Anolis sagrei: one gene and its partner. The protein of the gene in region 1 interacts with the protein of each later gene in a pairwise test. Links are inferred from orthologs where the notes say so. Each region holds a gene or a part of one and is shown on either strand. Other genes may lie near its edges.

What was found.
Region 2: the proteins of BNIP2 (region 1) and KLC1 interact in binary tests that used the Homo sapiens proteins (3 or more experiments, as listed by UniProt). The two-hybrid records come from large-scale screens. The link is inferred for Anolis sagrei from reciprocal best matches to the Homo sapiens genes BNIP2 and KLC1.

The regions. Positions count from the first base shown.
Region 1 is NC_090029.1:4,524,246-4,532,144, reverse strand, and holds the start of BNIP2 (BCL2/adenovirus E1B 19 kDa protein-interacting protein 2), read right to left. Parts: upstream 3,058-7,899; 5' UTR 2,893-3,057; intron 1-2,892.
Region 2 is NC_090021.1:327,288,107-327,295,774, forward strand, and holds the start of KLC1 (kinesin light chain 1), read right to left. Parts: upstream 3,094-7,668; 5' UTR 2,960-3,093; intron 2,880-2,959; exon of another isoform or gene 2,858-2,879; intron 1-2,857. UniProt on the Homo sapiens protein: Kinesin is a microtubule-associated force-producing protein that may play a role in organelle transport. The light chain may function in coupling of cargo to the heavy chain or in the modulation of its ATPase activity.

The DNA of each region.
Region 1 (7,899 bases):
TTTGGTTTGGGAGTTGTAGTTCACCTACATCCAGAGATCACTGTGGACTCAAACAATGATAGATCTGGGCCAAACTCGACACGAATACTCAATATGCCCAAATGTGAACACTGCTGGAGTTTGGGGAAAATAGAATCTTGACATTCGGGAGTTGTAGTTGCTGGGATTTATATTTCACCTACAATCACAGAGCATTCTGAACCCCACCAACAATAGAATTGGGCCAAACCTTCCACACAGAACCCCCATGTGGGCCACAGCAACGCGTGGCAGGGGACGGCTAGTTAATAATAAAAGGATTGTTTCTGTTTAAACTATGAACCTATGGGTTTCCAAGGGAATAGGCATGTCAAAGGATAATGACATAATTACATGCTTTATCTGGCAAACACTCTCTTGCATTGCATTTAAGAAGTCATAATAAAACGTATTTAGTCTTCAAGGTGCCATTTGCTAATCTGAGGACAGATAAGCAGAGCTCCCAACATATGGCATTGAAAACTGCTCAAGATATAGTATAATTCTTGACTATTAAATAGCACTCTCGTGCGCATATTAAAACACCTTAAATGTTATCTCTGGGTGAACTCATTTGGGTGTGGACTTCTAAAGAAAAGGCCGGGAGGGGCAGAAATGCAAACATGTCAGACAAGGAATGCCGCCTCAATTGTAGTCATTAGACAAACAAAACTTTGGCTGTGATGACATCCCTCTGAAAAGATGAGTTGAAAACAAGTCTTGAGATTAGAAAGAAAAACCTTTATCGCTGTGCAAACAATAGCAAAGCAATAAGGCAGAAGGAGAGGCTTGATATTATTCTCTTCTTGGTCACCTGGGTGCATCTACACCAGGCCTGGGCCAACTATGGGCTCCAGGTGTTTTGGACTTCAATTCCCACAATTCCTAACAGCCGGGTTGACTCAGGCCTGATCTACATTGCAGAATGAATGCAGTTTTACACTATGTGAACTGCCATGGCTCCATGCTGTGCAATCATAGAATTCATAGTTTGGTGAGGCACCGGAAATCTCCAGCAAAAGAACATGTAAAGCTAAAACTCCTTATTATTCCATAGCATTGAAGCATGGCAGTTAAAGTGGTGGCAAACCACATCAATTGTACAGTGCAGATGCACCCTCGGTCTCTTCAGGAAAATCGTGGCAAGAAAAGCCTGTCACAGAATCAAAGAGTTGGAAGAGACCTCATGGGCCATCCAGTCCAACCCCATTCTGCCAAGAAGCAGGAATATTGCATTCAAATCACCCCTGACAGATGGCCATCCAGCCTCTGTTTAAAAGCCTCCAAAGAAGGAGCCTCCACCACACTCCGGGGCAGAGAGTTCCACTGCTGAACGGCTCTCACAGTCAGGAAGTTCTTCCTCATGTTCAGATAGAATTATTATTATTATTATTATTATGTTTATTGACATCCTGCTTTTTCTCTCCATAAAGAGACTCAAAGCGGCTAACATTAAAAGCATTACAATTTAAAACATACAAGCATACAATATAATAGTAATAACAAATAATAATAACCAATATATGATTATGATGTTTTATTTATATCCCACTTTTTTATTTATTTACTTATTATATATTTCTAGATCTGGGGAAGTAATGCTCCCCATGCTCTATTCTGCTCTGGTTAGACCACACCTGGAATATTGTGTCCAATTCTGGGCACCACAATTCAAGAGAGATATTGACTCTAAGCTGGAATGTGTCCAGAGGAGGGCGACTAAAATGATCAAGGGTCTGGAGAACAAGCCCTAGGAGGAGCGGCTTAAGGAGCTGGGCATGTTTAGCCTGAAGAAGAGAAGGCTGAGAGGAGATACGATAGCCATGTATAAATATGTGAGAGAAAGCCACAGGGAGGAGGGAGCAAGCTTGTTTTCTGCTTCCTTGGAGACTAGGACGCAATGGAACAATGGCTTCAAACTACAAGAGAGGAGATTCCATCTGAACATGAGGAAGAACTTCCTGACTGTGAGAGCCGTTCAGCAGTGGAACTCTCTGCCCCGGAGTGTGGTGGAGGCTCCTTCTTTGGAGGCTTTGAAACAGAGGCTGGGTGGCCATCTGTCAGGGGTGATTTGAATGCAATGTTCCTGCTTCTTGGTAGAATGGGGTTGGACTGGATAATGGCCCAGGAGGTCTCCTCCAACTCTTTGATTCTATGATTCTATAAGTACAAGTTACTAAAATGATCAAGGGTCTGGAGAACAAGCCCTATGAGGAGTGGCTTAAGGAGCTGGGCATGTTTAGCCTGAAGAAGAGAAGGCTGAGAGGTGATATGATAGGACGCGGAACAATGGCTTCAAACTACATGAAAGGAGATTCCATCTGAACATGAGGAAGAACTTCCTGACTGTGAGAGCCGTTCAGCAGTGGAACTCTCTGCCCCGGAGTGTGGTGGAGGCTCCTTCTTTGGAAGCTTTGAAACAGAGGCTGGATGGCCATCTCTCAGGGGTGATTTGAATGCAATATTCCTGCTTCTTGGCAGAATAGGGTTGGACTGGATAAAGGTCCATGAGGTCTCTTCCAACTCTTGGATTCTATGATTCTAAGAAACTGAAAGTGGCTAATTTTAAAAGCACTGCATTATTATTATTATTATTATTATTATTATTATAAATAATTATTTTGTTGTATTTATCCCTCGCTTTTTTCTCCATAAGGCAGGCTCTGGGACAGGGTGTCTGTCACAATGACTGACAGGCCTCAAAGGATGCCAATTGTATGCAAGGCCATTTGGAAGCCTTCTCTTCGACTACAAAACCACCCACAGCCCTGCGAGGTGGGCCTCTTCGGAGGCGGTTCCTTCCCCTTGGGCCCAAGGCAGGCCTCTGATTCCCCTTTGAGGCCCACATCCCATAATATGCCCCTTTATACTCACCCAAAAGGGAGGAGGGGGGAAAAAAAACCCGAGAGAGGGCGTCCCTTCAGCCCCTCCACAACACCCTCAACCGGCCATTTTGTAAGAGCTACGACCTCGCCCCGGAAACAGTCTCCACCAAACAGGAAGCCGATAGAGACCACCGACGAAGAACAACAGAAACCGCTACTTCTGCACATGCGCAGTGGTTGGCTGGAGACGGCGGAGCACACTGCGCACGCGCCAAGGAGGTCTCCTCTCTCGGTTGGGAAAGGTTTCTCCGCGACTCGCTGAGCTCAAGAGTGCGCATGCGTATAGAGGGGACAGTCTATAAATGATTCAGTGGGCGGGGTGCATGCAAATGAAGGGGCGGGGAAATGCAAAACGAGTCCTGCTTTGGAGTCCAGAATGGGTTTCTTGGAGGAAGAACCTTGTGTACATTTTATTTCTTTTGCATAATTATAATAATTTTTTGCAACATAATAATATATAGAAATAATGACATTGTAATGTAATAGTACTATTATATTATATATAATATTCATGTCGTTGTATAATATATTCTATATATTATATAATATAATACTATTATATATGATATTAATGTCATTATATAATATAATCTATATATTATATAATATAATACTATTATATTATATATAATATTCATGTCGTTATATAATATATTCTATATATTATATAATATAATACTATTATATATTCTATATATTATATATAATATATTCTATATATAATATAATATAATACTATTATATATGATATTAATGTCTATATCATATATTCTATATATTCTATAATATAATAGTATTATATTATATATAATATTCATGTTGTTGTATAATATATTCTATATATTCTATAATATAATAGTATTATATATGATATTAATGTCATTATATAATATATTCTATATATTATATAATATAATACTATTATATTATATATAATATTCATGTCGTTATATCATATATTCTATATATTATATAATATAATACTATTATATTATATATATTAATGTCGTTATATCATATATTCTATATATTATATAATATAATAGTATTATATTATATATAGGAGCCCCTGGTGGCGCAGTGGGTTAAAGCACTGAGCTGCTGAGCTTGTTGATCGAAAGGTCGCAGGTTCGATTCCGGGGAGCGGCGTGAGCTTCCGCTGTCAGCCCTAGCTTCTGCCAACCTAGCAGTTCGAAAACATGCAAATGTGAGTAGATCAATAGGTACCGCTCCGGCGGGAAGGTAACGGCGCTCCATGCAGTCATGCTGGCCACATGACCTTGGAGGTGTCTACGGACAACGCTGGCTCTTCGGCTTAGAAATGGAGATGAGCACCACACCCCAGAGTCAGACATGACTGGACTTAATGTCAGGGGACTACCTTTATCTTTACTATATTATATATAATATTCATGTCATTGTATAATATATTCTATATATTATATAATATAATAGTATTATATATGATATTAATGATTATATAATATATTCTATATATTATATAATATAATACTATTATATTATATATAATATTCATGTCATTATATCATATATTCTATATATTATATAATATAATACTATTATATATGATATTAATGTCGTTATATCATATATTCTATATATTATATAATATAATACTATTATATATGATATTAATGTCGTTATATCATATATTCTATATATGATATAATATAATAGTATTATATTATATATAATATTCATGTCGTTGTATAATATATTCTGTATACTACAACTTGTGATCTTGTAATGTAATAACACTATTATATTATATATAATATTAATGTTATATAATATATTTTATATACAACTTATGATATTGTAATGTAATAATACTATTATATTATATATAATACTAGCTGCCCCCTGCCAGGCGTTGCTGTGGCCCAGTCTGTTGATCTGGAAAATAAAAGGAATGAGAAAGTGTTGGTTTCTAATATATGTAATTTCTTTATGCTTGTGGGTAAAGAGTATTTCTTGTTGTTTCTTTGTCAGTGTTGTGGTTTGCCCACCCTGGAACATGCAACATATCACTGTCCTTCTTTAAGGGTCCCTTTCAAATCTATGATACTATATCTGTGTGAATCATATCATATCATATCTATCTATCTATCTATCTATCTATCTGTGGAGCCCCCGGTGGCACAGTGGGTTAAAGCACTGAGCTGCCGAGCTTGTTGATCGAAAGGTCGCAGGTTCGATTCCGGGGAGCGGCGTGAGCTTCTGCTGTCAGCTCTAGCTTCTGCCAACCTAGCAGTTCGAAAACATGCAAATGTGAGTAGATCAATAGGTACCACTCTGGTGGGAAGGTAACGGCGCTCCATGCAGTCATGCCAGCCACATGACCTTGGAGGTGTCTACGGACAACGCTGGCTCTTCGGCTTAGAAATGGAGATGAGCACCACACCCCAGAGTCAGACATGACTGGACTTAATGTCAGGGGACTACCTTTACCTTTACTATCTATCTATCTGTCTATCGATCTCTATGGCTGGATGGCTCTTTGTCAGGAGGACTTTGTTTACGTGTTCTTACCCTGATGAAGAGAGTTGGATTGGATGGCCTTAAGTATTTTCTGTTGGTCATGGGGGTTCTGTGTGGGAAGTTTGCCCCGATTCTGTTGTTCGTGGGGTTCAAAATGCCCTTTGATTGTAGGTGAACTGTGAATCCCAGTGACTACAACTCCCAAATGTCAACTCCAAAAACTCAAGGTCAATGTCCACCAGACCTTCCCAGTATTTTCTCTTGGTCATGAGAATTCTGCGTGCCAAGCTTGATTCAATTCCATCATTGGTGTTCAGAAGACTATTTGATTTTAGGTGAACTATAAATCCCAGCAACTCCAGCATTACCAAATGACAAAAATCAATCACCCCCAACCCCACCAGTATTCAAATTTGGGCATATCGGGTATTTGTGCCAAATTTGGTCCAGTGACTGAAAATACATCCTGCATATCAGATATTTATATTATGATTCATAACAATAGCAAAACTACAGTTATGAAGTAGCAACGAAAATAATGTTATAGTTGGGGGTCACCACAACATGAGGAACTGTACTAAGGGGTCGCGGCATTAAGAAGGTTGAGAACCACTACTCTAGATCATAGAATCACAGAATCAAAAAGTTGGAAGAGATCTCCTGGGCCATCCAGTCCAACCCCATTCTGCCAAGAAGCAGGAATATTGCATTCAAATCACCCCTGACAGATGGCCATCCAGCCTCTGTTTCAAAGCTTCCAAAGAAGGAGCCTCCACCACACTCCGGGGCAGAGAGTTCCACTGCTGAACGGCTCTCACAGTCAGGAAGTTCCTCATGTTCAGATGGAATCTCCTCTCTTGTAGTTTGAAGCCATTGTTCCGCGTCCTAGTCTCCAAGGAAGCAGAAAACAAGCTTGCTCCCTCCTCCTCCCTGTGGCTTCCTCTCACATATTTATACATGGCTATCATGTCTCCTCTCAGCCTTCTCTTTTTCAGGCTAAACATGCCCAGCTCCTTAAGCCACTCCTCATAGGGCTTGTTCTCCAGACCCTTGATCATTTTAGTCGCCCTCCTCTGGACACATTCCAGATTATTAAATATGGTTTTCTGTGGATGAGCAGATGGTGACTTCTGGATGGCATGTGTTTTGTATCGGATACTAGAGCTGATGTTGTCTATCCAATGCAAATTTTCTGAATCAGCATGCCAAATAACCAAACCGAATCTAAAGTTGGCCAAAAACTGATTTGTAACCCTTTTAGCACTAATGTTGGAGAGTGGACCCTGGTCAAAGTGGCCCCTGGTCAAAAAAAAAAGTTTGGGAACCACATATTCAAAAGGATATACATTTCCCCCCCCCCCCCCCCCGCCCCCGGTGGTGCAGTGGGTTAAAGCACTGAGCTGCTGAGCTTGTTGATCGAAAGGTCGCAGGTTCAATTCCGGGGAGCGGCGTGAGCTTTCGCTGTCAGCCCTAGCTTCTGCCAACCTAGCAGTTCGAAAACATGCAAATGTGAGTAGATGAATAGGTACCGCTCCGGCGGGAAGGTAACAGCGCTCCATGCAGTCATGCCGGCCACATGACCTTGGAGGTGTCTATGGACAACGCTGGCTCTTCGGCTTAGAAATGGAGATGAGCACCACACCCCAGAGTCAGACATGGCTGGACTTAATGTCAGGGGACTACCTTTACCTTTACCTACATTTGTCCCATTTTTCTGCTTTTGTGCAGCTTTTCTGTTTTGCCACAGGGTGGCAGCCAATCACTGAATATGGAGACTATCAAGAGAAAAAGATTTCAATACAAAGTAGGTAGCAAGTAAAATAATACATTCAAAAAAGTGATATATTTTCCCAGCATCTGGCCATGATATATATATATATTTAATGAGCGGATATATAAAGTGGGGTTATAGCCACAAAAAGCTTGTGCTAAAATAAAGCACTCTTAAAGTCTTTCTCCCCTTCTCTTCCTCCTTTTAACATTCCTAAATATTGTTTATTTGTTGTTGGATATTTTGATTCATAGCAAACATCTCACAGCGTCTTTGGGGTTGAGAGAGCGCGACTTGGTTGGGGTTTCATGGCCAAGCAGGGATTCGGTCCCCAGACCCATCCACACTGTAGATTTAATGCACTTTAGCACCACTTGAACTGGCAGAATTCTACAGTCCTGGGACTTGTGCACTTTCATATCATGCAGCTCAATTGCACTGAATTGCATTATATCATGGCATGGGCTCCTATAATGCAGGTCAGTGCAGTTAAATTGCATTATACGAGCCTACAGTTCAGTGCAGTTCAATGCTGTTAAACTGCATGATATGGCAGTGTAGGCTCCTATAATGCTGTTGAATGCAGTTAAACTCCATTATATGGCAGTGTAGGCTCATATCATGCTGTTGAATGCAGTTAATCTGAACTATATGACAGTGTAGGCTCATATAATGCTGTTGAATGCAGTTGCACATATGGCAGTAGGCTCATATAATGCTGTT
Region 2 (7,668 bases), on another chromosome or scaffold:
AAGAAGCTTCCCACAAGGATGATAAAAACATCAAATCATCTGGGCGTCCCCTGGGCAACGTCCTTGCAGACGGCCAATTCTCTCACACCAGAAGCGACTTGCAGTTTCTCAAGTCACTCCTGACACGACAAAAAATATTTTTTTGTATTTTTATGTTGTATATTTGCATTGCTATAATTGCTGGACTTGGCCTCACGTAAGCTGCCCCAAGTCCTCTTGGGGAGATGGTAGCGGGATAAAAATAAAGTTTTATTATTATTAAGACTGATATTTCAAATGTAATTTCTGTTGCTTATGGTACAAAGAGTATGTCTAATTGAGACTCGTGCGCCAACTGCAACCGTACCTCGCGAAGGCTGATCTGGCCGGGGTGGTCCATGCCTTGGTCACCTCTAAATTGGACTACTGTAATGCGCTCTATGTGGGGCTGCCTTTGAAAACTGCTCTGAAATTTCAATTGGTCCAACGAGCAGCGGCCAGGATGTTAACTGGTGCTTCTTACAGAGAGAGGTCAACCCTTCTGATCAAGGAGCTCCACTGGCTGCCGTTTATTTTCCGAGCCCAATTTAAGGTGCAGGTGCTTACCTACAAAGCCCTGAACGGTTTGGGACCATCCTACCTGCGTGACCGCATCTCCGTTTACGAACCCACGCATTCACTTCATTCATCTGGAGAGGCCCTGCTCGTGTCCCTCCTGCGTTGCAAGCGCATTTGGTGGGGACACGAGACAGGGCCTTCTTTGTGGTGGCCCCTCGACTCTGTAACACCCTCCCCAAAGATCTTAGACAGGCCCCTACATTGGCAGTCTTTAGAAAGAACTTGAAGACCTGGCTGTTCCGATGTGCCTTCCCAGAATAGGAAATCTCCAATACCAAGTCCCAGAAGCACTTTATTAGAACTAAGATTGTGGAACGCCCTTCCTGCGGACATTAGGCAGGCACCATCTCTCATGGCATTCCGAAAAAAGTTGAAGACCTGGATGTTTGTGCAGGCGTTCGAGTAATCTAGTGCAATATTGGTAACTGAACATAGGAATGGAACAATGGACGAAGAACCTGGACTACGCTTTGATGATGAGACGATTGGGCTGGTTATTGTAATAACTGTTTAGTGTAATTGCTTGTTGTTTATTAACTGGATAATGTGTTAAGTGGTCAATTGTTATATATGCATTGAATTACTGCTGTTTTTATTGTGCGTAAACCGCTGTGAGTTGCCTTCGGGCTGAGAACAGCGGTATATAAGCAAAGTAAATAAATAAATAAATAAATAAGGTTGCCGCACACTGCACTTACCCTATAATCCTTATATACCACCTGTCACATCAGCACTTTTAATTCTGTACCCATTACTCTGGCCCGGCCCAGTTTTATTGTGTTTTGGTGTATTGTTTATTGTTGTTGCTTTGTTGTCTAATATTGCTTTAATTGTTTTTGTATTGTTTTGGTGTGCATTGAGGCCTTGGCCTTTGTAAGCCGCATCGAGTTCTTCGGGAGATGCTAGCGGGGTACAAATAAAGTTAATAATAATAATAATAATAATGTCTAAAAGAAAAGGGCGGAGAGAGGTAGAGAAAGTAAATTAAAATGGACATAATTAAAAAAAACTTGGAACCAAAAATAAAAGAGATATTCTGGGTTATATGCAGGCGTGGGCAAACTCCGGCCCTCCCTCCAGGTGTTTTGGACTTCAACTGCCACAATTCCTAACAGAGGTTCCGTCCTGGGTCCAGTCCTGTTCAACATCTTTATTAATGACTTAGATGAAGGGCTAGAAGGCAGGATCATCAAGTTTGCAGACGACACCAAATTGGGAGAGATAGCCAATACTCCAGAGGACAGGAGCAGGATTCAAAACGATCTTGACAGATTAGAGAGATGATTGGCCAAAACTAACAAAATGAAGTTTAACAGTGACAAATGCAAGATACTCACTTTGGCAGGAAAAACGAAATGCAAAAATATAGAATGGGGGACAATGCCTGGCTCGAGAGCAGTACGTGTGAAAAAGATCTTGGAGTCCTCGTGGACAACAAGTTAAACATGAGCCAACAATGTGATGTGGCGGCAAAAAAAGCCAATGGGATTTTGGCCTGCATCAATAGGAGCATAGTGTCGAGATCTAGGGAAGTAATGCTACCCCTCTATTCTGCTCTGGTTAGACCACACGTGGAATATTGTGTCCAATTCTGGGCACCACAATTCAAGAGAAATATTGACAAGCTGGAATGTGTCCAGAGGAGGGCGACTAAAATGATCAAGGGTCTGGAGAACGAGCCCTATGAGGAGCGGCTTAAAGAGCTGAGCATGTTTAGCCTGAAGAAGAGAAGGCTGAGAGGAGACATGATAGCCATGTATATATGGAGGGAGGAAGGAGGAGGGAGCAAGCTTGTTTTCTGCTTCCTTGGAGACTAGGACGCGGAACAATGGCTTCAAACTACAAGAGAGGAACATGAGGAAGAACTTCCTGACTGTGAGAGCCGTTCAGCAGTGGAACTCTCTGCCCTGGAGTGTGGTGGAGGCTCCTTCTTTGAAAGCTTTTAAACAGAGGCTGGATGGCCATCTGTCAGGGGTGATTTGAATGCAATATTCCTGCTTCTTGGCAAGGGGTTGGACTGGATGGCCCATGAGGTCTCTTCCAACTCTTTGATTCTATGATTCTATGAGTTGAAGTCTAAAACACCTGGAGGGAAGGCCGGGGTTTGCCCATGCCTGGTTATACTGCTGTGCAGAAGGGCCCTTGGTGCAAGACAACTTTCCCCCCAGAAACACCTCCCTAGCTCCAATTCCCGCACTGGCCTCTAGGTGGCGACGTCGCACAACTGCCTCCCTCGGGGAGAAAGAAGAAGCCGGTATACCTGACGACGGGAAAGGCAGCAGGCCTGGCTTTTGTGAGGGATGGAGGGCTGAAGGGCGGGCCCTACGAGGGGAAACCGACCGAGGCCTGAGCCGTGACTCACCCCAGCCGGCTGTCAGTCGGGCGGGATCCCCCAAAACCGCCACCGCCACCTCCGCCGCTTCTTCCCGGCTTCAGCTCCCTAGCCTGACTGAGCAGCCCGTGGCTCCGCCCCCTCTCCTCACCGAAAATGGCGGCCCCTCCCAGCCCACAATGCACCGCGCGCTGGCCAAGACCATGACGTCAACTCCTCTCTCTCTCTCTCTTGCTCCCTCGCTATAGTAAGGGAAGGCAAGCTGAGTGGCAACGCGCATGCGCCAACGCTGATAGGAGGGTTGCTTTAGAATCATAGAATTATAGAATCAAAGAGTTGGAAGAGACCTCATGGGCCATCCAGTCCAACCCCCTGCCAAGAAGCAGGAATATTGCATTCAAATCACCCCTGAAGCTCTCTTCACTCACAGGCATAAACAGTGATATATGTATATATATACATGCATACAAGCATTGATTAAAGTCTTGAAAGGTGATGCTGTCAAGGGGTGCATGCCATATGCCAGCAAATATGGAAAACACAAGAATGGCCATCAGACTGGAAAAAATCAACTTATACCCCCATACCAAAAAAGAGAAATGCTAAAGAGTGCTCCAACTTCCGTACAGTGGCCCTTATTTCTCATGCCAGTAAGGTAATGCTCAAGATCCTGCAAGGAAGACTCCAGCAATACTTGGAGCGAGAGTTGCCAGACGTTCAAGCTGGGTTTAGAAAAGGTCTGCATAGTTAAAGCAATGCTATTCCCCGTAGTCACCTACGGATGTGAGAGTTGGACCATAAGGAAGACTGAGCGAAGGAAGATAAATGCTTTTGAGCTGTGGTGTTGGAGGAAAGTTCTGAGAGTGCCTTGGACTGCGAGAAGATCCAACCAGTCCATCCTCCAGGAAATAAAGCCCGGCTGCTCATTGGAGGAAATGATAGTAGAGGCAAAGATGAAGCACTTTGGCCACATCATGAGAAGAAAGGAAAGCCTAGAGAAGACAGTGATGATGGGGGAAATGGAAGGAAAAAGGAAGAGGGGCCGACCAAGGGCAAGATGACATCCTTGAAGTGGCTGGATTGACCTTGAAGGAGGTGGGGGTGGTGATGGCCAACAGGGAGCTCTGGCATGGGCTGGTCCATGAAGAGTTGGAAATGACTCAACGAATTAACAACAACAAACACACGCATTGATATATACATGCATACCAACATCGCCCAGATATGCATTTCCCAATGTTGCCCCTCCACACAAAGCCACATGTAACTGAATTATATAGTAGTGTAGACTCAGGGCCCTTCCACATAGCCATATAACCCAGAATATCAAGGCAGAACATCCCACAATATCTGCTGTAAACTGGGGTATCTGAGTCCACACTGCCATATAATCCATTTTCTCCTCTCTGCTCTGGGCTCCAGATGTGTTTAATGTTTTAGTTCAAAGCTGTCCATGATTTTAAGTTGCCCAATGAAGGGAATGTGTGCCAAGTTTGGCCTGCATCCTTCAAACTATCTAGGAGCCTTTGTGGTACAAATTTACAAACATACACTAAGTGGAATCCTATAGTTTTGTGACATTGAGTCATGTTGTTTATAGTGGTGTCAAACTGCATCAATTCTGCAGTATAGATGCACCCTTAATGTGATAAGGATATATATATATTTAATTTAATAAATAAGGGGCTACAATCGATAAGGCTCTCTGCCTAGTAGAGGACAGATGATAAGTCCGGATGATGGGGACTTCAAGCAAATTTTGGTCTTCGGACCGAAGTAATTTCTGGGGTTGGTAGGGGGATAAGCGGGTCCTCAGGTACGCCGGCCCCAGACCATATAAGGCCTTAAGATGCTAGCTCATGATCTCTCACAAACATGCTAGAATGCCAGAATTCGGAAATGCAGCCTCTTTTATACAGAATAATTTCAAATTTCCCACTGTGGCAGCATCAACTGTAGAGAAGCCCATTGGATGACCCTCCCAATTCTGACCAATCACAGAAAGGGGGCTTTGCTGAGCAGTCAGCTTGTGAAGAGACAAAGGGCATTGAGTGGCGATGAATGGGTTTCCCTCTATTCAACAGGAAAAATAATTAAAATGATTGAGGGGTCTTGGCCCTACCCAGGAAAAGTTTATTGTGTGCACGATAGTCATGGCAGAGCCCCATTTTTGGGGGGGGGGGGCGCGACCCAGAGGCTCTGGATCATGGTAGCTCAAAACAGGACATATTGGCACAATCATGCAAATGACAGAGGAGACGGTTCAGGTTTCCTTCCGTGGCAAGAGGTCCCACACAGAAAGGCGCATTTGTGAAAAGTAGCTACTTCCCCCAAAGCGGGTAGGAAGAGGCAATGGGGCCATCTTGTCCTGTGGGTTTATTTTGTGCATTCTTGGAAGGCATGAGATAAACCCACTACTTCTGGTGTTTGGACTGCTCCCTCAAAAGTTCTGGACTTTTGATGGGGCAGTCCAGATAGTAGTCCCACAGCTTTCCAGGCTAAATTAGTCCGGAAAACTGCAAGCCCTCCTCTCCAAAAACTCTGAAAAGCTGTTTACAAAACAAAAGAACTTACCTGACCTCCATTAGAGAGCTGTCAGGAGAAAGGGGGGGGGGGAGGAAAATCCAGGAGAAGGGGGGGGGGAATCGCTCCTGCCCCCCTTCTCCTGGTACTTCATTTCTACACTCCAGGAGAGCCCAGGCAGCTATCTAATGGAGGCCAGGTAAGTTCTTTTGTTTTTTAAGGGGAGGAGGTGCTCCGGGTGCTGTCTTGGAAAGTTCTGTGAGAACATCTGGACACCCATCCCAGAAAGCACATGCTTTCTGGGGTGTGTGTGGATTGGGGCCCAGGAACATTCACATTTTTAAAACACAAATGCTCCTAGGATAAAGGGCTGTGTGGAAGCGCTTGTAGTTTGAACTGCATTAGATGACAGTATAGATTCAGCCTTAGGCCCCTTCTACACTGCCATATAAAATCCAGATTATCTGTTTTGAACTGGAATATGTGCTATTGTAGACTCATAGAATCCAGTTCAAAGCAGATAATGTGGATTTTTGCTTTGATAATCTGGATTATATTGAAGTGTAGAAGGGACCTAAGAAGAGTTCTAAATCCTCCGTGCTGACATTATAGTAATGTCTGGCAGGGTTTCCTCATTTCAATAGGGTTACTAGGATCATCTAGGGCGGCAGTTCCCAAACTGTGTTCCGCAGAAGCCAAGGGTTCCACAAAAGCATTAGTAGGGATTCTGCGAAAAATCTTTGAATTACTTTTTTAAATGCCCATGCCAGAATATGAAGAACTTATTGAAATTCAATGTACATCTGATTTAAAAATGAAATTTGAATCCGTGCCACTGAATGGCTTTTGCGTAAGACTGATAGACGTATAGCTGTCAGTTGCTGCCGATCCAGCTTTTCAGCTTACACCAAATCAATTTTAATTGGATGCCACCCCAAATCTATGTATTCAGCTGTAAGGAATAAAGCCCAACTTCAAAACTATTTTAAGTACAAAAATTAAACAATTTATTTTGTCACTGTAGATGTGAATCCAATATTTTCCTGTACCAAACTAAATGTATATGGTTATAGCCAATATTTTCCAAATAAAAAGGTTTGTGGTTATATTTAAATTTATTTATCTTTATATCCAAACTTACTACATTATACAACACACTTAGGCCCCTTCTACACTGCCATATAATCCAGATTATCAAAACAGATAATCCACGTTATCTGCTTTGAACTGGATTATATGAGTCTACACTGCTATATAATCCAGTTCAAAGCAGATAATATGGATTTTATATGGCAGTGTAGAAGGGGCCTAACTGCATTGGCAGTGTAGAAGGGGCCTAACTGCATTATATGACTCTACACTGACCATATAACCCAGTTCCATCTGCATTATAATGCCAGTGTTGACAGGGGCCAAAGATATTCATATCATGATCTGATCACCATACTCAATATATCCCATATGCATGGGGGTATTGGGGTAACGATACAAAAGGTTTGCTAGGGTAGACCCTCTTTCACTTAGACTCAGCCCCCCCCCCCCGAAACAAACAGCCCCCCCCCCCCGAATCGAAATCCTGGCTACAGGCCTGAGCCCTTTCTTTATAGAATTCATTGTCTTGAGAATTCTACATTTCAGAAAATATTTCAGAGGAACTCAAAGTGCCACCACAAATCATTGCTGTCAACATTGGGCCACAACAGGTAGGCAGCTTGGGTGTCAACACTGCCCTAATCTAGCAGGAATCATAGAAGCCAACCTTGAAAGACCTGTTATATTAGCAACTTGTGGTCTGCAGATCATGATTTAAATGCCATCAGACTCATCCTATTTCCCCAGGCTGGTGTGGTGAAGACTAAAAATGTAATGCTGGAAAATTGCCAGGACTTGCAAGGAGTAAATGTCAGTTTCCTTAAAGGGATGCCAGATGAGCTGTAAGGTGAGCCCTTTTCTTTGGATCCAGCATTGGGGAGGAATTAGTAACTTGCAGTTTGATGAAATTTCTGGAGACAATCAGGGATAGCCAAGAATATCTTTGCTTCTATGAGTCTTATAGGGTTGAATATTAATAAGTCCCTCCATGGAGGTAGAGAAGAACGGGATACAAAAGTTCTAAATAAATGAACAAATCTGGGTAGAGTTGAATTTACCCAAATGTCTTTAGGTGCAAATATAGTTTTATTTATTTATCATGTCAGAAACGAACAGAGAGTACA